4 linked regions of the Neodiprion lecontei genome follow. The protein of the gene in region 1 binds, or shares a complex with, the protein of each later gene. Links are inferred from orthologs where the notes say so. Each region holds a gene or a part of one and is shown in the gene's direction. Other genes may lie near its edges.

Region 1 (4,945 bases):
TGGTGTTCCAAATTTGACCTGATTACTCCATTCATTTCCTTGTACATCAAAGCCTTCAGCACTATGATTCTTCTGTGTGTCTACAGTAGTAGCTTGATTTTGGTTCTCAAGATTGGTGCTAGTTATTTTCTTCTGTTTTTTTTTATTTCTTTTTTGGCGTTTACTCAACTTTTCTGAACATCCTTCTTCCTGGGCTTCAGTAATGCTATCTTTCACTGCACAATCACTGTTCAATAACTCAGCTTTCTGATTTTGCTGCAACAAATCGATTGCCGCTTGACCAATATCAGAATCAGGGTTCGCTTTCTTGGATTTCTTTTTCCATTTCTTACATTGCTTATATTTCGAACACAGGTCTTCTACCGCAACAGAATTAGACTTGGCCTCTAGCAGAGTATCACCAGGAGTTGAATTGATAGCTTTGTTCTTTATGTCTGAACTTTTTGACATATCAGTTATCTTTGCAGCCATTTCTGTTTCGTTTCCAGTTACATTAAGTTTTTTTTTCTTAGCTGATTTTGGTTTAACTTGACCAGTAGTACTAGAATTTTTGATCTCATCACTACTAGCTTGAATGTTACTCTGCTTTTTGTTTTTTATTTTCACTGGAATTGCAAGAACTTGATCTTTAAAAGAGTTATCATTTAAGCCCTGTACCTCAACAGCCTTCTGATTTTTATTGTTTTTGCTGCCTTTGATATCGTGTAATTTGTCAATTTTATTTTTCTTGGATTGTAACTCTGGAACGTTGTCAAATGCTGCCCATTCATGATTCACATTCCCAAATGTATCATAATATAATCGGTTATCCTTCTCTGCAAGTAACTCAGTAGCAGTTTTTGGCTTTTTCGTGACAGCTTTGGATGCAGTTTGACTGTCTTCAAGCTGCATTTTCATTATACTCCATGGTGTAGCCTCATCAGGAACACGTTCATTGGATGCTTTGGAGCCCTTGGCTCTGGTAAATCTAGTCATGTTGGATAATCTTCAAGCAAAGAAACAACACAGCCGAAGGGTACCTGAAATTACATATAATTCATATCAACTTGTAACGACATAACCAATTTTTAAATAATAGTCGTCAAGGTAGAAAAATCGAAACGAAATAGCACGCTACTTCAATCCTGTTACACATTATTCGAGGTTAAACAAGCAGTCTGCTCGGAATATTAGAAATGAAATGCAACTGTAAAGTGCTGGAATTTAATAAAGTATCATTAAAGATAACATTGGCGATGAATTAACAATTTTATTCCGACATGTGTATCCATATTTAAAAACATTTTCCGCATTACCTGCGGCGCAATTGACAACGTATTAATCCACGTGGTCGGTAGTTTTCGGAGCACAGAACCCCTAACAGAACTTATCGGGAACGCCAACTGTTGGCTGGACGACAGACAGCGACATCGATCTCCCGCTGCTTACCCAGACTCGAAAAAACCCGGGAATGTATAATTCCGATTGCGTATATACCTAACCTGAAAATTGCTGTCAGCGATGAAAATCCGTGCAGAATGAGGCTATGGAAGGGCTACCCTACAATCTGATAGAGCGAGTGAAACTCAAAATTGGTATCCTGTTATCAGTAGCTTTTGAGTAGCTTATGCTCATCTAGCATTGATCTTTTCCTTTACTTCGAGATACAGTTGTTTGTGAACTGCAGCCTTATAGCATATACTACTCAAGGTAGCCTCGCGTGTACTGAAAGTATAGTGAGAGAGTGAGATAGTTTATCAATGCCATGTACTACCTATCTCCCTCGCTTCACAACCTGGTTGGCCAATGCGTTTCCTCTCAGCCAATCAAATGCAGAGTGAGAGAAACGGAGTATCCAGGGTAACACGTGGATATATGTCGCGCTCTCTCATCGCCACGGCCATAGTATTTGCGAGTTTGACGGCATGGGTAGCTAACTCCAGTAGTATATGGTCTAAGACTGCAGCAATCACGGTAGCACTGGCTGCATAATTACGGAAGTCGACCAATGTCAGACCTGTTCTCAACGAACTAACCAATAACGTTACTTTTTACTTTTACCCACCGTTATGCTACCGTGACGGCCGATGATTTTAAGTTGGTAATAATCCTAAATCTGTATATCTGGCACCATTTTCTTCACAAATCAACCGACAACCGCAAACGCCGGTGAAGATTGTAGAATCTGCACGAAAAAGAGACGCGGATACATATTAAAATTTGTGAATTATCGGCAAAAACGATATGGAAACAATAGAAGAAAACCCACACAACGTGCTAGGCAGCATATTGAATGAAGAAGAACTTACACATATTCCAAAGGGTGTCAGCGAAAAGTTGAAATCGTATTTCGATGAACGGTTCGAAGAATTTATCACTGCTAAAGCTGTTTTTGAGACTGCCAGAAAAAATCTCGGTAAGATTAGCGTTACTTTTCTGCCTCCGATATTTACCGTTTCAAAACTCCCTTCAAACTGTTCACTGATGTCTGTTTAACCATCCAATTTTGCTTTCTTCATCTGCCAGAACAAAAATTAGAGACTCTACAAAAGGATTACAATGAGCAGAAACTGGATTTGGAAGAATGTAAAGGCAAACTGGAACTGGCCAACAAATATACAAATGAACTTCAAACCAAAGTTGATGAAACTAGGTCTGAAGCAACAAGATTACAAGAATCACTTAGAAGGTACAAATATCTTTAGTGTGCTTCTTCCTAGCTCTAGGTTTACATTTCAAGAAATGTACGATCAGGCAATTCATTTCTTAAATTCCAGGTAGTACATATATGTGCATATGTTGTTTTTTCTGTGAAAGAAAATGGCTATAACGAGTTGCCTAACAAATTAATTGACTTCGAATTCCTTTGAAACAATAGATATTTCGCATCTAAATTTTAGTATTCTGTTACTGATCCATTTTATATAGATTAGAAAAGGATAACGGAGAGCTGAGACGTCAACGGGATGTAGCCACAGATGAAAGAGATGCATTACAACTACAGGTTGAACGTCGAGATGCAGAACTTGAGCGTACACATGCCGAGCTGCAAATGCTCAGTACTCAGCTGCAGACAGCGGTGACTGCCAAATGTCAGGCTCTGGCTGACACTGAAGAGATCCGCAGTCGCGAGATGTCTTTAGATTACAAGTCAGTAGATATTGTATTTGTTAACTCAAGTTATCCATAGGTTTCAAGTATTCTAACAGAGAAATATAAATCCTTGTTGGAAATTTGTAAATACATTTATTCACAGGGAACAGCGTCTGGAGAAAGAGCGAACCCTTTTATCTCAACAGATGGCCAATTTAGAAGAAGAGCTATCAAGGCGCACTGGAGAACTGCAAAATGTTCGTACTGAATCGTCCAAGAGATCACTGTTGACAGAAACCCAACTTTCACAGCGTGAGGAAGAACTGCGAATAGCTAATGATGAGATTAGTAAACTCCGCGAAGGAAATTCCCTCATCATCAAACGCTGTGATGAAATGGCACAAAAATTAGAAGAACAAAGAGCTCATGAGCTTTCAATGCATGCTTCTTATCGTGAGGAAGTTAACGCTCAAACTAGACTAGCTGATCTTTATAAGGGAATGGCAGATGAAGCTAATGCCAAGGCTGAAGAATTTAGTTCAGCTGTTAAAGAACTACAATCCCTGCTTGAACAAGCCACAGAGCAGTACGGTGTGCTTGAAACACAGCACAATGATCTACAAATACGAATTGATGAAGAGGTCGCTGAAAAGTCACAAAAAATCGAGGAGCTTGTAAAAGAGCTGGAACGAGCGAATGATTTACTGAAGGACGCCAAACAAGGTATAGTTTTAAAGTTGGATATCTAATTTCGATCAAATTTAAGGCTAGATGTGAAAACAATTGCGTTTAGATCATACTTTTGAATACTTTTTCTTGATCAGCTTAATCCATGAAAGTTGCTCGATGAATTACCAGACATCCATATGATATATTAAAGGTAAGCATGCTAAGAACGTTTTGACTTAATTATTTACTATGTGCTCCATAGAAATGTTAGACCACGCAGTGGAGCAACTGGCTCCAACAGCAGCAGTAGCAAGTAGGCTGTTGAAAAAAGGCTCCAGCCTGACCCAAATTTATACCCAATTGGTTGATGCTACCAACGAACTGGCAATTGAGAAAGAAGAAAATGAGCGATTAAAGTCACAAATGAATATAATACTCCGTGAACTTGAAGATAAGGCACCGGTACTGCAACAACAGCGTGACGATTACGAAGCCGCAGTTGCCAATGTTACAATGCTCACTTCGCGTCTTGATGACCTTCTTGCTGAAAATCATCGTTTGCAAGAATCTGCAGATGAGGCTTCGCGCATTGCTAACCACCATGTTCGGGAAAATAAACGGCTAAAGACAGAGCTTGCGGATCTTGCTAGACAGGTATTTCTATATATTTTAATTTAGATTTCTTCATTTACATTTGTTATGTCTCAAACACTACTCAGTACAAAAAAAAAAAAAAATTATCATGTGACAAATATCTCATAGGAATACCTGTACAGTCGTATGATCATGTTAGTAGAGTTATTTTTCATCATTCCAGGTCTGTTTCCTTCTTAAAGAAGTCCAGGAGAGTCGTGGAGGTTCGACAGTCCTCTCTTCCACAATAATGGAGTCTGACGACCTAGCATCTTCTCAAATTATCAGCAAAAAGTTGGTTACCTTTAGAGATATTGAAGAATTACAGGAAAACAATCAAAAATTGTTATCAATTGTCAGAACATTATCTGCAAGACAAGAAGAAATTGAAAAGGCAACTGATGAAATTAATTCTGGGGAGATGAAAGAAAAACTTGATAGGTACATTACTTTCACAGCAAGTCAATGATGTATTACACCCCACTGTGTAATTTGACGTAAGGAACCCATTTAATGGTATACGAAAGTAAATATTGTCTCATTTCAGGTATGTAGAACAACTATCTGACAT
Region 2 (7,184 bases), on another chromosome or scaffold:
CGTCCGTTTGCTCGGCGACGCCGCAGCTCTACTACGATCGCAGCCTTCAACCAGGAGCTCGAAAGGTCGCGCGGCGATCGCTCGATAAAGTCGCACTCTGCACGCACCGACGCTGCAGCGGCTGCAGCCAAATTTTCGACTGCGCGCGGCGACCCGAGCTCGCTAACAATAAAAGCAATTAGTTTAAACGATCGCAATGTCTCTCATAAACTCGCTCCCTCGTCGGCTAACTGCAAGGGCATGAATCTTTCAACCAGCTTTTGATTACACCCGTGTATTATAGTTAATGTTTTGTTATCTTTTCACAGAGTTCATTACACCTCGTAAGCGAGTTTCGAGTAGATTCAGAGGTTCAGGGCCGGTTGTAATGTGATTGGTCAATTCTAATCAGAATCGTTGTTTCCGACTAATCTTTCGAGTTGGTTGAAGCTATGATTGGAAACTTCGGTCAATGTTAGAAATAATGTGACTTGTACACTTGAAAATCAATAGATAATACAGAATCAGATGTATCTTTACAACTCCATAAGGATTTCTACTGCGGCTTTGTCAAATTTTATACTACATTGTAAATCACGCAGTCTTACCACATTGGTTATCTTAATTGACCTGACAAGGCATAATATTGAAATTAACAAGGTGACATACGTATTGCATACACATGAACAAGAATAAGACGAGTCATGATTGGAATATGGCTTCCATAATATTGCTTTATTCGTTTAGAGTGAATTCCGAACTTTGAAAGAACTTTTAAATGCCGGGTAGAAACCTGCATAAGACAGATTAAGCAATATTCAGTGTAACTGCTACTTGCAGCACTATTTCTACGATTGTAAAGATTTTATAACTACGACGAATCAATTGATTAAATCGCGTAAACATGTGCAGATCATATGCACACAGCCTGATGCTTATTGTTAGTTTGAACGTCTTCAGAATAAGAAATTAGTTAGCAATTACTACACATCTTAAAGTTTGGACCAGTAAGAAATGTCTGACAATGATTAGTGGTTTAATCTTTTTTTTTTCGACAGCGTGAGTGAAAATCTTATGAATTATTATCGTTCCACGTCCCCACAAATAATCAACTCACTTCACAGCATTCAATTATAGGTCTATAACTGTAAGGGTTAGGAATGTTATCAAATGTCTGATAATCGACGATTTAGTTACTCACATGAATAAAACTTGGTTGATGTAAGCTGGGGTAAATTTCTAACAACTTGTGGCAATCGGCGGCCGAACAGAAGTCGTGTTACAGCTGAGGTGGTAGCCATTTTCCAGTATATCAGTCAGTCGCTAGCGCACGGGCATGCAAAGAGCGAATGAGCTGATACCGAGCCGGCTCAGAGTTCTGATTGTATTAGAATTACCGTTACGTAAAGAGCTATCACGGCTCTTACGAAACTCTATACTGACTGATAAGAACGCACCAATTGCGATACTCGGCTATTATACTCGATACTATCGCAAAACTGACAAACTACAAACCATTGTTACTGTTGTTGACGAACTTTATTGCGTTCTTGTCATCTTATTTAAATCAGATGCGATACACTCATTCAAGGCCTTATGTCATCCGTCGGTAAAACAGTTATAAACTTTCAATTTGTCCGATAAATCATAGATGTCAGTGAAACCGGAATGGTTACCTTCCTGCTTTGAACGTTAAAATTCGTTTTGAGTTGTGAAAAGATGATCGTGAGTAACAATTAGGTTACCGATTTCGTTGATGAATTTATGTACTAAATTCAAAAACAACCGGTGAACTAAAGCTCACGTTCAGTCATGGCAGAAGTCAGCAACGCTCAAATAATTGTAAGCACCTCAATATACTTATTGGCCCATGCGGACTTACACCGGGTTTTGTTCACGGAACAATCCTGATATATATTGCTATTTTGTCAAATATATTACTTACAGGCTATACCAGACGACGTTTGCAGAAGAGCAGGCCTGGCTGCGACCTGGATCGGCCAAAATAAAATCGGAGTTCACGCGTACAAGCATATTAATGCACACTCGAAAGGTGAGGTTACGTTTTTTAGCGGGTACCGCACAGAAACTGTTTTCTGCAACATCGATGACTCAGATGTATACGGTTTATTTTTTGTCTATAGTGAAAATGCTAATTAATATTTCCATCGGCTCGTTTGCAGATGTTCCAAGCAGTCTTGCACCCTGTGAGGTTAAAGTTCATTGCTTACGACAAGAAGTGATTTTGTTCGAGCCGGCGCTTCGCAAACTAGTCAATGAGAGCAATGGAGTGTTTCTTGCGATACAGAAGATTAAAAATTCCACTGAAGACCTTAGACCTGAGCTTTTGAAGTACAGCAAACACTACAGGTCCATATTAAGAGCCTGTGTAGAAAATCTGCAAGATGTTGTTGAAAAGTCAACGCCAGACAAAAAACCGACTTTTGAAAATTACTTGACTATTTTTTACAATGTCGAGTGTGTTTGGCACCTGACAGAGATCCTTTATGTTAATGTCGTCCCAGGTATTGCTAATAGCGCAGTCAAAATTAATTCAAACTTTTTTTATTTTCCAATTAATATTTATGACATAACTACATACATGCCCTAATTTCTTTGTAGGAGATGTGATACTTCCACAGCTGTTGGAGTGGGTGAGATTTCACTTTCCATCTAGAGAATTAATGGCCTCTAAAATACTTGCAAAGAAAAGTCTTGCTGCCGATTTGGATAATGTACAGTACTGGGAAGCAGCGATAGGATGCGCTTTGCACGGTAAACTCGATACCGTTCGTTCATTGTTAGCTATGCACAGCAAGGCAGATAATCCTGCTTTTGGCACTGCTGAAAATGCTATAAGGACAATGCCTGTTTACAATGTATATGGGGGATATTCTGTAAACGAATTTAACATGAGATGGAAGCATTGGCAATTTGACCTCTCTTCGCAAATTGAAAGCAAAACATTTTCTACAGACCGAAATTTAGAGTTACTAATGAGGGTGAGATTTCAATTTGTCTCCGGCTGGAAGCACAGATAAGAACATTAGTTTTTATTTTTGTGTTTTTTTTTATCAACAGCTTATCGTTGGCGAAGAACTTGTTCTTTGGGAGTTTTCAAAATACACGGAAGCATGGTATGAGTTATTGGCTGCACGTTTATTTTACTCTGCGCCCTGTAGCAAACAGCCAGAACTTGCTAGACATGCAAATCATATTGCAGAAAAGTGGCGTGCAGGCAGGTATTTGGATCATGTAATCTTAGCTCTAATGGAAAGTGATTTGCATCAAGTAATCAAGGAAATTCAGCATATGAGCGACAATGGATGGTTTGCAGCACATCTGATCAACTTGTTGTACAACTGTGGAAGGCTAGACATCATAGACAAGCATCAAATAAAGTAAGTTTGACTTGATTTCTTATGGGATTACATTTATTTTCCAGGATACTTGTATTTGGTGATTTTCATACAAGGTACGTGAAATCCAATGGTAAAATAAAATTACGTTTTTTCAGTGTTACCTCACAGCTTCATGAATCATTGATATTAGACTATGCCAGTACTTTGATGGGTCATCATTCACTGTGGCAGTGTGGCGCTAGCTACTTTGAACACTGTCCTGCTCAAGGATTAACTAGATTGCAGGCATTGTTAGAGTCCATTCCACTGGGTAGTGAAGCACGAGTGAATAAAATTATCGAGATTGCTCGTCAAAAGCATATGACCAATGTTGGTACGTATAAAGAAAATAAACTCGCAATTTTCGCATTATTTCAGACCTCAATAAATTGAATAATCTTTCATGATATAATTTTAGTAACCAGCGTTTCCAAAATACAAGGAATGAAGTGTATTAGACAAGGACGGCTAGGAAATGCACTTGCCTGGGCATTAAAGGCACAAGATGGTGCGTTTGCTACTTTTATAGCGGACCAATTTCTAAAAAACTATGCCAAACACGGAGAACTCGAGTGTCAAGACCTTCTAGAGAATTTAGGAAGCTGTATGCTGATCAGCGACAGACTTACGTTTCTTGGTTTGTATAGTACTGTACAACAGTTGATTGTCTATCAAAGTTTTCGAAAACTACATCGAAAGCCAAATATCAAAATTTCGTCCTGTTTCAGGAAAGTATTGTGAATTTCATCAAACGTATGGACTAGGTGAATTTAAAGATGCTGCTGCCTTGCTGGTCTCGTTACTGGTCTCTAATTTAACTCCGAAATAGTAAGTGACTCAACTTGACTAATTTCTAATCCCCCTAACGGAAAAGTGTTTATGTGATTAATAAATTTGCAAATCGTTTCAGCTTCTGGTCGATTCTTCTAACGGATGCAATTCCGCTTCTGGAAGCAGAGGATGCTGTACTCTCATCTAAGGATACTTTCGAACTACTACAAACTGTTGAAGAACACGGCAACGATCCGAAATTTCAAGACAAAATCGACCTTTTCCGACTAGCAGCGGCAAGAAACTTGGCACGAGCGTTGAATATAGAAGGCTGCTTAGGGGATCATTGATATATATTCGTAACGACAAATCGAAAATGAAACCTGACAACTTATGTCGAAAACTCGGTTCTAAATAAATTTTATCATTAAATTCGGTCTGAGTAGTCAGATATTCATTTGTTGAAAGCAGGTATTTGACTCTTTAAACAAAGGTCAAAGGAAAACAATATCGGATATTTGCCGTCTATACAGCTGAGAGCTCAATCACTGCCATTTTTGAGATAAGCCTCAATAAATGCACGTGCGAAATAGGTACTCTCCCTGGATGTTCCAGTATTTTAGTTCATTTGTAAGATATAGTTTTGTAACATTATTTCATCGAATTTTAATTAAAGAAATGTTAAAAATGATACCATTCCCTGTCTGTATATCCTCATGCACCGTTATGTTGTGTGGATGTGTATTCAGTAGCTTGGCTGAGGTCAACCGCATCATAATTAATCCAAAATTAATGTAAATTCACAAAAAGCAACTAGTACGTGAAGCTGTACTATACAAGGTTATTTTGGTTAGATGTACGAAGTAACCGTATGAAGCTCTGAAGTTTGCTCTTACGTAAAAAACACGTTTAACTCAAACGAAAGTTTTCTGCAACTATATTCAGCGAAGTATTAATTACTTACTTATTTTTTTTTGAATTTGAATTATTTAATACGTAATTTATACCAGATATATGGTTTCATTTTTCCGGCGCAAGGTGGCCGATCGGGAAAGTGACATCATTGGTTAAAAAACTGCAATGTGGCGCCATCGTGGCTCCGTGAACGAAGACTTTTTAAGTAGTTGCACGACATGCTGCAAATTTGTGTAATCACCTGATGTGTACCTAGCAACAAACTTCATGTGCAGTGACAGCCTCCAATCCGACAACATGAAATAATTCTGCCAACTTTCTGTTAACTTTCGATAATTCTTGTGAGTGTTTACTTTTTCGTTATAGAGAAGCTTATGTATTACAAAATTTTAACAACATATAATAATGACAGGTGAACACTTGTTTATTTTTACACCGTTTTGTATTTCATGAATAGGTGATCATTGGCAGCCCTACAATATGTTTATTTATAGAAATAGGCATAGATATGAATATGTGAAATAATGTTGATGTAAGTTTAGACATTTCACGAAAATTAATAACTTTGATTACTGGTTTGCAACATGTTATATCAGTGATGGTAGTAGTCTCATTCAATAATAAAAATTTTACAATGACCACAATACCTGATGTACATATTTTCGATATCAATTTATTTCCTAGTGTTCTCGATTAACAAATTCCGTAAGTAGTATTTTAATGTGTGTGGAGACCAACGAGTGGACCAAACTCTGCCATAAAAATGCAGGTATAAAAACTACATGATGTAACTTTTCACTGACGTTTCAAATATTCATTCCACAAGATATCACCTTTCTTATCGGTCACGTATTGTACTGTAGGAAGTGGTGTAATGACATCACACACAATGCTAACTATACTTGAAAGAAATGTTTACATCATAACACGATACTCGTAAAGAATTCGAATAATAATAAAAACAATCAACCATATCAAATTGATCACTGATATAAGTAAAAAAAATTTTCACCGACATTTTTGTGTTTCATTACAGACATAACAATTGAAATTTCAAATTAAATTGAAAAGTATATCTGACGCAAACTCCAGTGGGGATGACAACTTACAGAGCTCTTTCATCATTTAGCGATTCCTGTTAAGATAGTAATGAGTGTGCCCTCAATGGTTTTTTACCGAAGGCTCTTTGGATTTAAATATTGGAAAATATTTGGCATAGGCGTTCGCATATTAGGAAATTCTACTGCTGTTGGGAATTGAAAAAGTGTTTAATCAAAGAAAAACGTGTTTCACAATAAATTAAGAATAATAAAAATTAATAAGCACCAAACTCGTCAGAGTTACTGACATCCAATATGACGTCGGCAACATCGACTACTTCAACAATGCCCATACTGGCAAAGGAAAGTTTTCCTACTTCTGCAATGGACTATGCTAGCATCAGGGGAAAGGTATTTTACCTTGTATAAAGAAAATGTTCAAATTCAAGATATCTTGATGTCGTACAGAGTTAATTTTGCTCAAACTTGCAGGATGTCCTTGTTAGTCCAACAGAGGATCAGTACGAATTGCTACTGAGACGACTAAGAGAAAGAATTCAGGATGGCGGAAGTGAGACGATATTTGACATCGGTGTTGGGGAAGGTGCGTCTTAGAAAATTTCTGTTTACTGCTTCCTTTACTTTCATAGAGGTCTTCATAAATACTCTCAGGCCATTTTTAAAAAGAAAATATGGTTGTCGGTAGTAAGAATACTAGAAACATTGTTAGTGCGCCCCGAAAAACATCTCTTCTTTCTCTGAACTATATACTGTTTTTCCGAGTAGATGGTTCTGAGAATGGTCTGAAAGAGGATGAGTACGATGCATCTGTAGCCACTCTGCAGTCTCTGGCAGCAACTTTGGAAGCAGACTGTGTTCTGCTGAGGCAACGAAAAGTGGATCTGGGACTCATAGGACAATATTTGGTCAGAAGACGCTTAGACCAACAAGATTTTCTTGAAATAAGGTATAAAAACAGTTGCCTCACTTCTCCTCATTTAAAATCATTCTTATGTAATGCCAACAGAGTTCCTGTCATTTTGCAGTAAATCAAACTTATTTCTCTGTCGATTTCTAA
Region 3 (7,970 bases), on another chromosome or scaffold:
TGATCTTCCTACATTCAGTATATAAGCCCAAATTGCAGCTAAACCGTCGGGTCCGATTTACCTGGGATAAAAGCTAATAAATCAATATAATTTGACAGTTTCATTACATTTCTTTGAATACTGCACTCAGTGTTCAGCCCTAGGTATGACTTCGACCTGCTTTTGCAATAATTTTTAATTTTAATGCTATTGGCGAACAGAACACACTTTTTTTCACCCAGTTTAAATATATTTGAGAAAATAGGGTGAAGGAAAAAAAATTTGATTGGTCCTAGGTGGGGAAAATTGTATTCAAAGAATTCAGAACAGATTGGACATATTTTGAAACTTCTGTTATATCATCATCATAAAAGATCTATTTGTTCAATATTCTTAGGTTTCAGTAAGGGAAATATTAAATAAATAATAAAATCGGCACATTGTATCACAATTTTCTTTTTATTATTTTTCTGTTCAAGTGCTACGTCTTATAAAGTGGCTTGCCTTCTTCCAATGTCAAACGTGAAATATTCGATATGCCGTCTTTCATCTGTAAACAAAAAGACCATATTTGATTAAATTTCACACCGTAAATTTACCAGCACGGTGAAAACACATACTTGCCTTGACTCGAGCATATAATACAATTCCAATCAACGTCAGAGTAATTCCGATAGCCTGATTCAGTGCAAGTGATTCGTGGAATATAATAGCGCCACCAAGTAAAAGAAGGCAAAATTTTGAATGTCCAACCATATTATAACTGGAAAACTTTATGTAAGAACATATTGAGAATTGCTGTGCGCATGGCAAATAAATTGGGTAGATAATAATTTTTCATCGAATTAAAAAATTTCATTTAAAATAACAATTCCTTGTTTGAATAAGGATACGTTAATGGTGATGTGTATCCTATTATCCAGTACGATGTTAAGTTCACAAAAAATGCTACGACGCTCGATAGCAGCACCATCAGCTGTGGAAATAAAAAAATTATCCCTTTAGTTAGCAAATGTTTAAACTTTAGTATTGAAAAGTAGTCAAAGTGTCTTTCAACTTACAATATCTGTAAATGTCCAGCTATGCTGGAGGGTGTTACCAATGGGTTCCAGAAATGGTACGATCACAAACAGCATTGCTGCAGATAACGGTGCTTGATAATAAAGGAGCTGCATAGGATCCATTTGGAATTCCTTTTGCTTTCTGCTGACCCACTGGAAAAAATGTGCAAAACCATGAGCTTCAAGTATGAAACAGGTTACGGAATTCATCATAAAGCAGTGAGAGTTATCCTACTTACAACTTGATACAGAGATGTAACAATAACACCTAGAGTAGCGTAAATAGTCCCAAGAATATTAAACCTAATGTCGTAATAAAAGTTGATGACAACTCCAGCTATGATGGGTATTAATGTTAGTTTAACAAGCAAACCGAATTTCTTTTTATAACATATTGCCTGCATAACAACGACGCAGGGGGTTGTAAGCATTTTAGTAACTTGATAAGTGCCGATCGTGTTGTGTTCCAGACTCAGATTAGTAAGGACAACAAACCCACAGAAAGTTAGGGCGATAGGTACCATTTCTTTAATGGCAACATCTTTTATACAAAATACATCCAATTTTTCACAAATGATTAGCCCAAGAAATGTTATTGCAAAGTGTATCATGGACAGGGTGACATTTGGAAATCCAATCCTCACGTACACCATTTTATTTAACAATACAATAAGTATTGAAAAAAATATATTTAGTACTAAGCAGAGAAATGTTAATACTCTTTTGTTCATTTTCTCAGACTATTATTGAGATCTTTATGGCGCGATAAATATTCTCTGACATTTACGTCACCGGTTACAGGTTAGGTTGAGCATCTTTACTTCATCCAAGTTAGGGTTATGTATTCAATTGTATATGTTTTGTCGAACACTGCTGCCATCTACCGGGGTTTCCATGACGACGAAACTCCCCTCGAGCTGCGCGCCAATTGATCTGAAAACCCGCGCGCGGAAATTTTAGCAACTAAAAGCGTCTTTTTTGGGCATGAAGATTGGGCTAAAGGTTTTTCAAATATTATTCCTTAATATGGTTAATATCTGAAAGAAACTTATAGCAACCGACAACATGGAGTTCCCTCTTGGTTACAGGGAAGTTATACCCGATCAAACATTACCGGAGAAGTGGAAAGAAATCGTGATAAATGCTGGTGAGATAACCTAACCTCTATCACACAAACTTCCGATGAAGAATTATTTTTCGCATTCCTTGTATGAACCGATTAATAATTACGCTCGATAAGACATGTATGACATTCAAACACTCCGTTTATCTCCTATTTATACGGACACGTATTTTTCCTTTTATGTTTTACGTCCCAACAAATGTTATACCTCATTACTATTGTTGATACTCTGATGATGAGCATTATTGCATTCAATAAAAATTCGTACAGTATAACTGTCACAACCCTTAATTTTTTTTTCTGGTTCAATACTATTCAGTAACTCTTCGCTTATTACAGGCGGTAGTCAAAGTACTTTACAAGATATAAAAGTCCCTGAGAGAGCGGGCGGATACTCTTACAAAGACAGCACTAAGCATTTTACAAGAAATCGTTTCATCTACTGGCGCATATCCCACGACGTTCTTGAACTTGTCGAGCACAGTCTAGATGTGAATCTTGCCAACTGTAAAGTAAGATACAAATTTACGGACCGGCCACTCTTGGATGGAATTTCTATACATGAGACAGTTAACTCTGTTGTGATATTAGTGGTCACTGTATCCAGTGTTCACAAACTCACTTTTCCGCATCCAGATAAAATACATCGACAGGTAGGACCAATATTTTGTCACACACTTAATTTTAATCTTCTTTTTCTGATACCTTAAAATCTTCAGTTTTTTTCATTTTCATATCCTTTGCAGGAACATGTATTGGGCTCTCACTCGGACCTTAGTGTTCCATCAATCCTTAACGATGCATCGAAAAATATTGTTAATGCCAATACAGGGACAACGAGTAAGCTGACATTTGTACTTACCAATATTATAATGTTTGAAAATATTCATTTGAAATGTTTCTCTATTCTAGACACATCAGTGCCACATGCAGCAGCCTCATGGCTGACTTTACCTCAAGAAGAAGCATTGTTTGCGCTCGCATACAGCACTGGAAACATTTTATTAATCCGTCTTGATACAATGACTGGGCTTACTCATACAACTGAATTGAAACAAGATTCAATTGTTCCCCGATTTCTGTCCGGCATCGCGACTGCTTTTAGAGGCCGTAATTCTGAAGGACACGTCCCAATGTCGCTTGTCCTACATTCGTATGGTCACGAAATGTACCTTTTCGCTCTATGTCGGGAAGGAAATGTCAGGATGTGGGCCTGCAGTAAAGCCCAGTGTGTGGCAGTTGCAGATATTGCCATGGACAGCAGAGTTCCTTTGCAGGGAGTGCAAGGACACATTTTGAAAAAAACAGTTGGAGTCAATGACAACGAACTTTATTTGGGAACATTTTTAAAATTTGGAACTGGATGCGAGTTTAGCATCCTTAAACCACTGCAGGATGCTGGACTCTTCAAATTTGTCAGGATTTGTACTTTATTTGCGCCAGATGTAAGTATACAATCGTTGTTGCAAATTTCAAACTTTTTCAAGATGAAGAATTTCACGCGCCACTTGAACATCTATTGGTGAATTAGTTAGTTTTTCCAATTCATTATTGCCATTTAAACATAACACCCTAATCGTTATTGTGTAGCAACATTTGGTCGATTTTTCCTTCACACCAACTCGACTGTGGGCAGTGTGGCGAACGACAGACATGGACACAGTAGCCGTGACACATGCAAGGCTACCATTGAATGGTGCACAAGTAAACTCTGAATGGGAAACTGCAGTGCTAGTGCAACCACCAGACAGAGATTACATCGTGAGTGATCCTGGAACAGATCCAAGGCAGGCATACATTGGCTATATTTTTCATCCTGGTCAATTTCCGTTAGCGGACATAACTCGTGCCTTGAGCATTTATCGACGCTCTAACATTATAACAGACACGTCGCTGTCTCCTGCAGTTCTGAAGGAACGTGTGTGTATGGCAGTAGAAGCTCAAATTCAAGCAGAAGTAATGGATTACGAGCTTTCAGATGATGACTATTTAGAGATAGCCAATCGCTGCTGGTCCAAATTCTATTCCTGTGTAATTCAATACTACGCCAATGGTACAAAACCTGTTGGGTTGTTGTTATTACCAAATGTATATGGGGCAGTTTTGCTGAAAAAGTCAGCGTTTTCCCTGTTACGGCCAATGGAGGCGCTTGAACATTTAATGTTATGCAATGACAAATCATATGTGCAAAGATTCAGTACTACACCAGTCTTGTCCCAAGATGAAGATACTTGTCAAAATTTAATCACATTGATGTCCGCATTAGTTTTGCTCGACAATCAATTGACTGAGGATTTGAAAAGTGGAATTGAACGCGAACTATATCATTTACGCAGTCCAGACATTATTATTGAAGATTTGTTATGCAAACAAGTACTAGAGACTGAAGACCCTGTGAGTAGTTCTATTTAAGCTTTTGTAACACTACCTAAAGCCCATTTTATTTATTATCTTTACCAAGTGAAGAGAATTGAGACTTACTCTGCGAAGTTCTTAAGTATAACGTCACCTAAGCCATTTGTTTAATTCCAGTTATCCGATTACGATTTTCAATCGGAATTAAATCGTAAAATAGAGAACACCAATGACATCTCACAAGCGATGGCTATGCTGGTAGAAGCACTGACTTATGATCTTGGTCAACCAAGTAAATTGCAGCTCGATGAGGTGCAGGAAGCCTCTCGAATCCTGCTGAATGTCAGTCACTTGTTCAGCAGCCAGTTAGGAATGTCAGCCATAACTGAAAGCGTATCGCAAATTACTCAGCTCAGATTTTCAATCTGTAGAAATCTGCTGATCCTACAACAATTAGTTTTGAAGCGGCCTGAAGCATTTGATCCAAGGTCCTTACACTCCATAAATTCTTCACTGGCACCTAGAACGGTTGTTCTAACACAAGCGTATTATGCAGTTATGTGGATTTGTGAATCAACCGCCAGTTCGTCACCAACTCAAACTTTACTGTAAGTGCAAATTTTTATGTAACTAGAGATTCTAGCAGAATCTAGTCTTTTCGTTTGCTTCAAAGTCAATTTCTTCTATGCTACATCATCCAATCCATTCGTACCTAGCATTTATGAAACCATGTGTGAAATTAATATATTTCAATTTGAATTTCAGAGACACCAGTATTCAGCATCTAAGCCTTTTAAAGCTTTCAGATTCCGGAGTAAATATTGTTCAGAGACAACAGAGATCATTGTCTCTTTTAGAATTGTTTATGCATAGCGGAGGTGCAAAACATGCCCACACTTTGATGGCTCATACGATAACTGATACGTGTGGCCTTGTACCATGGCATGAAAGTATGCTAACACATGTTACTCTGATGGCTCAGTTCGTGTATCCTTTCAACAAAGAGTTTTCTGAGAAAATAACTTCTAATCACACTATGAAACATATGATACATTAATGAAATCCAATGAATCACGTTAGTTCTTTTTCCTTGACTTTTCAAAACAGTTGGCCAATATCAGGAAATTTTATTTTTCCCGAATGGCTTTTATCAAGCTGTCAGCATTTGCTTGTTCAAGAGTACGTTAGAATGTTAAGTACTTGGTGCGAATGGAACAGTGCCTCTCGCAAATTTATCATGGCAGTGTCTTTGCTTGAAATGGGTGAAACACACAAGGCCTGTGATCAATTCCTTGGAGCGTGCAACGGAATTTTGACAGACACATTTTTGGCCAGCACCTTACTAGATGCCTGTATAGTGTCTGAAAGTAGCATGCGAGTTAATTACTTCTTGAAGGTGATCCAGCTGTTTGAACATCATAATGCCGCAGATTGTATAATAGAGCTGGCAGAAACTGCAATCACAATAGCTGAAGATGACAACCCAAATTTGCCCACGCTCCATTCAATCGTATTTAGACAACATCTGAATCTCGAACATCATACAGAAGCATATCATTGGCTTAATTCTAACCCAGATCCTTCCCGAAAAGTTGACTGCTTGAGGCAACTAGTAGCAACATTATTTGAGAGGAACAAATTACTGGAATTAGTTACATTTCCTTATGTCGAGATGTACGAAGATCTGGAAAGAATTATTGAAGGCAGGGCACGGAGTATGGATCTTATGGAAAATAATTACTATAATTTTCTCTATAGCTTCCATATAAATAAGGGAAACATGCGAAAAGGTACGATTCATTAGTATCAAGTGAAAATACATTCTTGCTCCCATTTGTGCATCATTTCATTTCGTAATGTATACATATTTTTTCAGCTGCTTCAGTGATGTACGAACAAGGCATGCGACTAGGACAGGAATCCCATTCTCCTGCAATTATACTAAAACAGTCTCGATGTTTGTTGGCTTGTATCAATGCACTGCATCTTGTAAAGGAAAGATATAGATGGATTGTGCGCCCTGTGGCTGATCAAAGGCAATCGGGGGAAACTGATCCCGTAAAAAAACGGAGTATAGATGGCAGGGAAGTTTTGCATTATAAAGTGAAGAAACAAGTAGAAGTGTTAGAATTGAAAGAGATCAAAGATGAGTATTACATCGTTACAGCAAGATTAAAATTAGCCAAATTAAGTCCGGAGTTACAAACAATCGCACGTGCTGGTGAGTTTTCTTAAAAATATGTACATCGACTTTCTTTGGATATACTCAATGAATAGTCCACGGTTGAATATTTGATTAATTGTTCTTATACAATTTCATAGGGCCGTCCGAACTTGTCGCAATTTTATCCAATGTTGGTTTGTACACGACTGCTTTACACTTGTGTGACCAATTTAGTTTATCGAAAACTTCTGTACTTGAAAATCTGGCCTCACAATGCGTAACTCTGAGCTATCAAGAAGACATTGACGCTTGGGATTGGCTAATACATAACGAAATTTTTGGTAAGTTAAAATTTATTTGTTTGCTAATTTCACAATGTCTTTTTGTGTATGGAATTATACATTGAGTGTATAAGGTCGACAAATTTCAAGGAATGCATATATTTCTTACAGATAAAGGCGTATCAGATTCGAATGTCACAAATATTGCTTGGAGATTATTGGAGCATCTCACATTGAAACACGAACGGGATAATAGCAGTGAATTGCACAAAGCTGTTACGAAAAATCTACTGCATCACGGTGCCTTTCTTCCACAGTGGCTAATGTCTTCTTACAAAGTAATTTCTCTTCCGAAGTGTTTTTACTCATTGACTATTATTCTTTTCGCAGTGATAAACTGCAGAAAAAATGGACCTAACTATATTAATAGCGAATTAAGTTCATATCCTATATTTTTATTTTCAGGAACGCAATGCGGCAGAAATTCTGAGACTTATTTTAAATTCCGGTCGACTTTTAGAAGCGAATGCAATAGCTCTTGAATACATTGGTGCTGTGTTGGGTAGAGGGAAAGAGTATTTTGGTTTGACAACACCACTGGTAGCTACGTCACCTGCTGTGTGGCTTCCATTGAACACATTAGAATTGCTTCTACTAGAACTTGAACATGCTAGCAAAACAGATCCCATGTATATAGAGGTAGAAACCAATTTTGTTGGAAAATATTTACAAAAATAGTTTTTTCTACCTTCAGCGGTTTTCCGATCTTCTCCTATTATCTTAGAGTTACTTGATCACAGCTGTTGGTAGAGCTGAAGTATACTATTGTTATTGATAGTAAGCTTTTACTTTTCATTTCAGAGCTACGAAGAATTGAAAGAAACCTTAGACTACTACATCGAAACAGTTATCAGAGTTTCAGAAGATATGATACAAATGAAAATAAACAGTCGAGTTGTTTAACAGTAAGTATATTTTCGGAACATTGTAGGATAACAATGATGATC
Region 4 (7,725 bases), on another chromosome or scaffold:
ACCTAAGTTATTTAATCTCATATCCAGTCTTTCTTTTACTCCATTTTTCTAAAATTTCTCAGGATAATTTCAAGTTTCTCTTTTCGTTTTTTTTTTGTTCTTTTTTTTTATTTTTTATTTTTTTATTCTTTAACAGTGCTGCTTCTATTTTTTTCCAATATGTTCGACTTGTAAACCCTGAAAATGAACGGTGATCATTAGAACAAGTTTGTCTACTTTGTGACTTAATTAATCGTTGAATAAAAAAAACCAAACGAATCTGTTCAGAACGGTGCAGAAAGAGAAATATAAAAACATGCAAATTTGTTTTATATTCAGTAATTGTTGCGCGTAAAGGTGAGACGATTAAAGGTACAGTAGTAGAACCTGTGTTATCGAAAACATCGATGCTTGAATTTAACATAAGGCAACAGTGAAAGTTGATGGTTTTCCTGAAAATAGAATATCGTTCAGGGTAGAAAAAGCATTAATAAATGGAATTTGTATTCTATTGAAGTTAAGGAAAAGTAAGAAAAAAGAATATAAATCACAGAACTTTTGAACCTAGTGTGTAATTCTAGCCTTCGCTATATCAGACTAGAGACAACAACATGGAGAATATGTACACAAGTGTGTGATATACTTGTTGCCTCTAAAAATTGAGGGGGGTCAAGAAAATGCAGCAGGATTTGATTCGAACAATGTAGTAATAAACTAACAATGAAGCAGCTGATTTTGACAATGCACACACAGAATCGCGACAAAAGTGGTTAATTTTGGTTTTCAACAACGTTAAAAAAAAGTTCGTCTTTTTACGAAAAAAAATTGTAAAAGTTTAAACATAACTGAGCACCTCAAAAACGCGACGCGAGGCGAAAATTTTTTCCAAAATGTAGAACCGAAGTCTATAAAAACATCGAAGATATGGTGGACCAACATAACCCATCCGAGTTGTCAGTGACGTCGCGTCTGAGGACGGCGCGAAAATAAAACAGACGCTCCAGACGCTTTGCGACGGACGGCGTTTGGGTTATTAAAAAAAACAAATAAATGAGATTCTTTCAAGCTTAGATTAATATACTTTAGTACTGACCGTTCAAAACATTTTTCCTTCCCGCAGACAAAGGTGAAAGCGTACTCCGTGATACCGATCTCACTGTGTTTTTATGCTACACTTGTCTACACTCACGGACAACTTGCTGCTCTTACTTCGATCGCAGCTGTCCTTCCGGAAGTCGTGCTTCGCATACGTATATACTTTATTTTTCGAAATACAATTTAGACCTCGGCCATTTCCGGTATCTTTTATCAAATTTTATATTCAACCACGAGCTTGTCGATCGTTATTTTTCATTTTGGAAATTTAAAATCGAACGAATCATCGTTTTTGATTGCGTGGAGCTGATAAATCGTTGCATTTATCGCCTATTATTCGCATTGACGAGTCTCGGAACACATCGAGTAATGACGTTTTTTCGTCGAGTGGCCAACGAAAATAGCAACATAAATCAAAAAAGCGCTACAAATATATATTTGGTTGAAGTTTGGCGCATTTTTTTGTTATAAATTTGATCCAAACTGCATTTAGCGATCGGATTGAGTAACGTAGTGGTGAAATCCAATGACGCTTGGACCCAACCGAGTTCCATTGATGAAGAAGGTTCTTTTTTTTTTAAGTGGGTGGCATTGATCAATTATTTACCTTTTTTAAGTTGGCGACCACTGCTCGCTCGCGACCATGTATCATGAACGCAGCCATGTTCACGCGGTTTTACAAATCAGCGCCAACCGCCAATTCACGAATGAGTGTTTGTCTCTTTCTTCAGTGATTGTTGAATTTGACCTTCTGAGTTTAGTTTAAATAGCGCAAGGATGACTGAAGGTAGGTCTGCGTATGCGTCTAACTTATTCTACATTAATTACTGGAACTCTTCTCCCGGTTGTAACGTGACATAACCTAGTTTTACCCAACTTCATCACCGGTACAAATGCAACAACGTTTATGATCAATTGTCTGTCAAAATACGTGGTTGTATTTACCTTCATATTTTGTATGCTTGTTCAGTGATACAATTCACGTTTCGGTTGATAATTCGTTTTAGCGTGAATTTGAATTTTCCTAGGTTAAGTTTTGTCACATCGACACCATTTACTATTACAGAAAAGACAAGTACGGAGGACATGTGGACTCCTTACAAGGAACTCCAGAGTCTCGTCGATCAATATATTACCTCTGCACCCAGTTCCCACGATCCACAATACCATGAATTTATGGAAGCGCTTCGCAATCACCGACAGAATTTTCTAAATCTCCTAAGCAATCCTGTAAGCATAATATTTCAACATGTAGTAGCTGCGACTTGGAGACCTTGATTGCCATGTGCTAAGTTTATCATATCCTCATTCTAGGCAAAGAATGCAAAGAGTCGTGAGGAAATTAAAAATGCAGTGACGGAGGGTATAACTCTGCCTGGACTAGGTCACCAGGTTTTGTCCAAAGAATTGGTTGACGAGACAATTATATTATCCGACATGTACGAACTAAATGAATTTATGGCTCTTGACTTACTCTGTACTGCTCAACTTCAAATGCCGCATCATCCTGGATTGACACGAGGCCTAACTGCTGTCCTTCTGTACTATGACGGGAAGAAAGCTCTCACCTCAACATTGAGGACTTTGGTTCAAGCCAGAAATGGTCATACTTGGGTTCTCGACACACCCGTTACGCTTACCAAGCAAATTACGGAGTATACCAACAAAATGCAGGAAGACGGCCTGCTGGACAGGATCCTGAACCTTTTGGAGGATATGGATCCGACGAAGGTAAAAAATTTGTATTTGGTAATAGCACAAGATTTAACTTGGCGCTATTATAAGTAGATTCTTCTTTTAGGAACAAGAACTGTTGCAGCAAAACAGAGGCTTAGGAGGAGCCAAGCATCATCACATGGTCATGCGTCTTTATAACGGTGCCAGGCAGGATCTTGCCGATATTTTATACCTTTGGTCAGCTCAGTCAGCTTTGCCCAGTCACATCACTCACAGACTTTTGTCGTTACTTCACAATCGTCATCCGGAGGCTGAGGATGGGACTGGTGGCCCTGATAAAGTCACGTTGGCATTGATTATGGCTTTGCTCAATTCTATAAATCTCAGCTCACTTCACACCAGAGAGGACGGTGAAAGTATGTCTACGATAATAAGTAGCCTTATCCAGATAATTGCATATTATTCCTTGACTGTCGAACGATGATTTACTTTCTTTTTTTTTTCAAATTTCAGCAATTGTTAAAGCAATGCCGCTTATTGACGATCCTGACATGTTGCCACAGCTCGTAACCGAGCTAACTTCTGGTAATGTAAATTGGGAAAGTGCCGGACTTCGTGGTTTGATTCAGTTTGCGCTAGCTATTGCCATAGCAACTATAAAATCTGCACCCAATCTGTGTCCTACACAAAATATCACCGAAGAGGATGAAATTTTGGTGGAAGCTGCTCTGGCAAACAAGGCTTTTCATTTTTTGGCTGAAGTTCTACTTCAAAGCTCTCACATCCACAATGAGGAATTCTATGTTCGTTACATTCACACACTCATCTCTGATTTTATACTACTCATGCCTTTGAAGGTGAAAGAGTTGAGAAATAGAGCCGACGAATCAATGCGTATCGTTCAAGCCTATCAACAAGAAGGCATCGAACCTCCCATGAACCTTGACAACCATTTTGAGTACCTCATGCTGTCTGTCGCTGAACTGTACAAAAAGGATCCCCTCAATTTGAACCTTGCAATGGATTATTGGTGTCAACATTCCGACTCCTCTCATATGCCGAGCACTTTGCATGCGAGCCGATTACCTCCAAGGCAAGTTGCTCTGTTCAAATTTGTCAGAGTCGCCGGAGAAGTATTGCCCAGCGGGCTATTTGGACCCTACCTAAGAATGCTAGCATCACTTGCTTCTTCCCTACCAGCGGCTAGGCAAGCATTCAACTTTCTGAAACTTAATGGTAAGCTGTACGGCTTGATAACTTGATTTGAAAGTCTATTAATAAGAGGTAATCTTGTGTTATTACTGCATTTAATTTTTTCAGGACCTTCGGGGGCAACGACCATTTCCTGGGATCATTTCTTCAACTCCTTGAGTCGCTACTATTTTAATTTGCGACAAGAACTCCCACCTTCACAAGACACGGTATACCGTCAAAGAAATCATCCCAAAGGTATCACACCTCACGAGGTCAAAGGCTTGGAAGCTGTGCTTCTAGTCGTTCGGGTTGTTGCTTACTACGATGAAGTTTCTCGAATAGCGATATGCGAGCATCCAGGCTGGAACGTCTTGCCTTCTATTATTGGTTTGGTGGGCTGTGCTATGCCGATTCCATTAAAAGGTGCGTTAGTCAGAACGCTCGCAGCTCTGGCAAAATCTCCGGAGAGTTCATCTACCATATGGCAAAGTTTGGAAGCTGCGCAAATACTGAGTACCGTACCAACGACCAGCAGCTACCAACCGAGAGGAATTCAAACGGAATTAGAAGAAATTGAATCTAGAAACGAGGAATTTCCTTTGACCAGAGCAATGTTGGAGCTTCTAGATGTCCTTACTGATTTTCCGATACCTCGACTTCTGGGTGTTGGCCTAAGAAATCCAGGCTTCGATCCGTACTTACATTTCATAATAAATTCCGTATTTTTGCGGTTCAACACACGGTCGTATAAAAATCCTGGGGAAAAGTGGGACGTGTCCGATGCCTGTCTGAAAATATTCATTAAATTGATAACACAGTATGAGCCAACTATCGAAGACTTTATCGGATGTAAAATAGAACTACAAGGCGGTGAATCGACTGTCGTCAATCCTCCTCCTGGACACCATTTGATAACGTTGCTACACTCAAATTCCGAGTTTCTACACGTCATTCTGCTCATACTTGACGAAGGATGCCATCTTTTGGATACTTACGACGATTTTCCTGGTAAAACAAGCCTCGAAAGCAGCACTTTGCACTGTTTGCAGATATTGGAGCATGGATTGGCAGCCCAATATCATTACATGGTTCAATTGGCTGCAGCCAGCTCAACCAACAGAATTTTAACAGGGCTATCCCGCCTTTTGCTAGGTGTAAATCCTCGCACGGGAAAACCAGACCACATGATTAACATCGTTAAATACATATCCTACAACTCATGGCTCACTCAACACGCCTTTGTGTCAGTTGGCATTGTTCAAGGCGTCGCCAACGAACCTGGAGCAGATTCAGAGTTACTTTCTACATTCACGTCTACTCCTTCGTTGGCAACGACGATCAGGCATGGTTTCGTAGAGTGTCTGGATTCTGACGAAAACTTTGAGTCTGAGGAAGAAATTGGGAATGAAAAACGAAGCGGTAATTGCAAGGGCAGGATTTTGTCCCTCTTGATGCAGAGCATAACACGCCCTGCGCCTAACATAGCTCATTACCTACTTGGATTCGACATCACTAAGGACATAAGAAAAACTGCAATTCAACAACCTGGAATACTAGGCTTTCCGAGGACTTGTCTGCACTCTATACTCGGGATATTGGAATTATCGTTGGAGCGTGGCCGTGACAAGATTACAGAGGCTTGCTACTGGTTCCTTCACATACTGGCTTCAAATAACAAAACCTCTGTTTCCGTACTTCGGTTCCTTCGGACAGCCACCAATCAAGATTTCGTACAACGTCATCTTTCCAAGCTGCCATTCCAGGGAGCGAACAGAGCGACTGAGCTTGCCTGCATGTCCTGGCTGCTAAAAATATCGGCAATTGAATTGCGCGTCGCTGGTGGCAGCCTTCAGAACTCCCTGATTCAAAGACTAGTCGGCAATCTAATCCATGACAGAGATCAAATTGTGCCATCCCAAAAACTCCTGATGGATCTACTTCACTATATCGATTTCCAGTTAAATCTAGATCCTCCAAAGTCCTGGGAATACTTTGATCCGTCTCAAATTGAAATGGTGTTGGGACGCTGCAGCATTCCAGTTCCACTTGGTGGAAGTCCCCAGCTTATAGATATCAGAAAACTTCACAATCTTATAACAGAAGAATTGGCTGGTACGCAAACTAGCGCAACTGCGACTCAGCGTAAGCTTGTGCAACAGGAGCTGCAATCTATCCTTGCATACGCCTTGAAACGAAATCAAACGAAAACCCTTTCTTACGCTACTGTGAAGTTCGTCGAGGGCTGGTGTCAAACAACTGAAATTTTATTCTCTGTCGCAACGAACCAGCAACTTCCCGCTGCTCAGAGGCAAAATCTTCTGCTAAATTTGTCACATGATTTACTGCAGAAGATGACGTCTTGCGAAGCTTTGAACGAAATCAAAACACTTGTATCTGGAACCGTGCTCGTACTACTAGTAAACCTTCGTAATAGCTTCTCCATGCAATCTGACGATGAGCTGCTACCGTCTTCCGCTGCAAATACAACAATGATGAAGATTATCCTTAGTCATATTCTTCAATGGATCTTAAATTCTGGTGTATCCTCACAAAAAGTTCGAACCCATCTTTATGGGGCACTTCTCAATTTCCTCTGTGTAGTCAGTTTGGAAAGATCGGAAGTTGTGACCAACATGGATTCCATGTATGTTAGTCAGTTAGATAGTTCGTATTATAGAAGTACGCCGCTACAGGAGCGTTCGCATCGATATGCGACGATACAAGTGATCAGTAGTTACGGTAACAAGTTGATGGATATATTGTCCCACGATTGTTCCGGTGGACACGACGTCTGTAAAATGCTGTCATTATCGTGCCTCGACAAAATTTTAGAATTCGATTGCAGCAATACGTGGGTCACATATCTGGCTAGCAGAGGGTACCTTAAACACATGGTAGACAGTCTTCTGGATTCTGACAATTTATTGCGAACAATGCTTCAACCAGATCCACTCACTCTGCGGCCCCTGTATTTATACGAATCAAAAATGGCAACGCTCTGCAGAATGGCGTCGACCAGACTGGGTGCCGAATGTCTTCTGGAAAATAAAGTCCTATCTTGCTTATCAAGCATGTGTGTTTTCGATCAGCATCCTGACGTAAATGTGGGCTTTGAAGGTGGAGATATATCCTTTGTGCCTTCCATAGGTCAGCGGTATCAGCAAATCTTTTTACCTGCACTTTATTTGTGCGATGCTTTGCTGACTACCCTTGGAACGGAAAATCAGTCTTGTGCCATACAAGTTTGCGGATTTTTACAGAGTCATCGAGATACCGTTGAAATGGTTTTACGGAATGCATCACCTCATTCTAATGTTCTGTTCCTCAAAGAAGTCGCCAGTCTCACCGGGGTCATCGCAAGGTCTGCCAACATTGGTAGGCATCTCTCATTCAATTGATTTTTTCATGATTTTATTTCTATTTTATTCTATGCAAATATTTAATTCTCTTCTTTTTCAGACATGTATAAACTTGTTGACGAGGAATTGGCCAGAGCCAACTCTAACGAACACAAATCTGAAGATAGTACAGGCATGAGAGAATTGCGAGCCCATCTTTATAGGCTCCAACGTTTGATGCTCTCCATGGTCTCCAGATTTCAGCCACAACTGCCTCCCGTCGTACCTCTACATCAACAAATGGAAGCTACCCAACAACATTCGTGCGCAATACAAATTGCTGCCAACGTTATGCTGTACACTCGTAATCAAGTATGTCAAACTTACCGACGCAACTCATTTACATTGATTGAAGATTGAACTGTGTTCAAAATTCTGATTT

The links.
Region 2: nucleoprotein TPR (region 1) and nuclear pore complex protein Nup85 share a complex: the UniProt entries of both Drosophila melanogaster proteins name them as parts of the nuclear pore complex. The link is inferred for Neodiprion lecontei from reciprocal best matches to the Drosophila melanogaster genes Mgtor and Nup75.
Region 3: nucleoprotein TPR (region 1) and nuclear pore complex protein Nup160 homolog share a complex: the UniProt entries of both Drosophila melanogaster proteins name them as parts of the nuclear pore complex. The link is inferred for Neodiprion lecontei from reciprocal best matches to the Drosophila melanogaster genes Mgtor and Nup160.
Region 4: nucleoprotein TPR (region 1) and nuclear pore complex protein Nup205 share a complex: the UniProt entries of both Drosophila melanogaster proteins name them as parts of the nuclear pore complex. The link is inferred for Neodiprion lecontei from reciprocal best matches to the Drosophila melanogaster genes Mgtor and Nup205.

What each region holds. Positions count from the first base shown.
Region 1 is NC_060260.1:31,011,554-31,016,498, reverse strand, and holds the start of nucleoprotein TPR, read left to right. Parts: upstream 1-1,944; 5' UTR 1,945-2,223; coding exon 2,224-2,395; intron 2,396-2,505; coding exon 2,506-2,668; intron 2,669-2,907; coding exon 2,908-3,129; intron 3,130-3,235; coding exon 3,236-3,795; intron 3,796-4,003; coding exon 4,004-4,395; intron 4,396-4,558; coding exon 4,559-4,815; intron 4,816-4,921; coding exon 4,922-4,945. Other genes in the region: uncharacterized protein LOC107221997, read right to left, coding at 1-975. UniProt on the Drosophila melanogaster protein: Component of the nuclear pore complex (NPC), a complex required for the trafficking across the nuclear envelope. Functions as a scaffolding element in the nuclear phase of the NPC.
Region 2 is NC_060264.1:6,092,363-6,099,546, forward strand, and holds nuclear pore complex protein Nup85, read left to right. Parts: upstream 1-1,581; 5' UTR 1,582-1,791; coding exon 1,792-1,821; intron 1,822-1,926; coding exon 1,927-2,032; intron 2,033-2,162; coding exon 2,163-2,504; intron 2,505-2,601; coding exon 2,602-2,981; intron 2,982-3,060; coding exon 3,061-3,380; intron 3,381-3,496; coding exon 3,497-3,714; intron 3,715-3,798; coding exon 3,799-4,026; intron 4,027-4,108; coding exon 4,109-4,208; intron 4,209-4,290; coding exon 4,291-4,501; 3' UTR 4,502-5,047; intron 5,048-5,257; exon of another isoform or gene 5,258-5,478; intron 5,479-5,522; exon of another isoform or gene 5,523-5,835; intron 5,836-6,102; exon of another isoform or gene 6,103-6,421; coding exon of another isoform or gene 6,422-6,517; intron 6,518-6,598; downstream 6,599-7,184. Other genes in the region: GTP-binding protein 1, read left to right, coding at 6,422-6,517, 6,599-6,710, 6,893-7,073. UniProt on the Drosophila melanogaster protein: Component of the nuclear pore complex (NPC) that seems to be required for NPC assembly and maintenance. Required for nuclear import of phosphorylated Mad via importin msk.
Region 3 is NC_060263.1:38,145,709-38,153,678, forward strand, and holds the start of nuclear pore complex protein Nup160 homolog, read left to right. Parts: upstream 1-1,967; 5' UTR 1,968-2,105; coding exon 2,106-2,187; intron 2,188-2,502; coding exon 2,503-2,816; intron 2,817-2,909; coding exon 2,910-3,003; intron 3,004-3,075; coding exon 3,076-3,608; intron 3,609-3,753; coding exon 3,754-4,557; intron 4,558-4,695; coding exon 4,696-5,126; intron 5,127-5,283; coding exon 5,284-5,505; intron 5,506-5,625; coding exon 5,626-6,308; intron 6,309-6,394; coding exon 6,395-6,739; intron 6,740-6,840; coding exon 6,841-7,023; intron 7,024-7,134; coding exon 7,135-7,301; intron 7,302-7,428; coding exon 7,429-7,662; intron 7,663-7,824; coding exon 7,825-7,926; 3' UTR 7,927-7,928; exon of another isoform or gene 7,929-7,970. Other genes in the region: solute carrier family 35 member E3, read right to left, coding at 461-529, 604-742, 873-955, 1,041-1,193, 1,280-1,771. UniProt on the Drosophila melanogaster protein: Functions as a component of the nuclear pore complex (NPC). Involved in poly(A)+ RNA transport. Required for nuclear import of Mad. May play a role in double strand break DNA repair. Essential for nephrocyte development.
Region 4 is NC_060261.1:2,748,783-2,756,507, forward strand, and holds the start of nuclear pore complex protein Nup205, read left to right. Parts: upstream 1-1,713; 5' UTR 1,714-1,851; coding exon 1,852-1,861; intron 1,862-2,140; coding exon 2,141-2,304; intron 2,305-2,388; coding exon 2,389-2,805; intron 2,806-2,875; coding exon 2,876-3,167; intron 3,168-3,264; coding exon 3,265-3,987; intron 3,988-4,071; coding exon 4,072-7,320; intron 7,321-7,404; coding exon 7,405-7,655; intron 7,656-7,725. Other genes in the region: PAN2-PAN3 deadenylation complex subunit PAN3, read right to left, coding at 833-925. UniProt on the Drosophila melanogaster protein: Plays a role in the nuclear pore complex (NPC) assembly and maintenance, but with limited role in NPC permeability. Required for specific nuclear import pathways such as Mad import.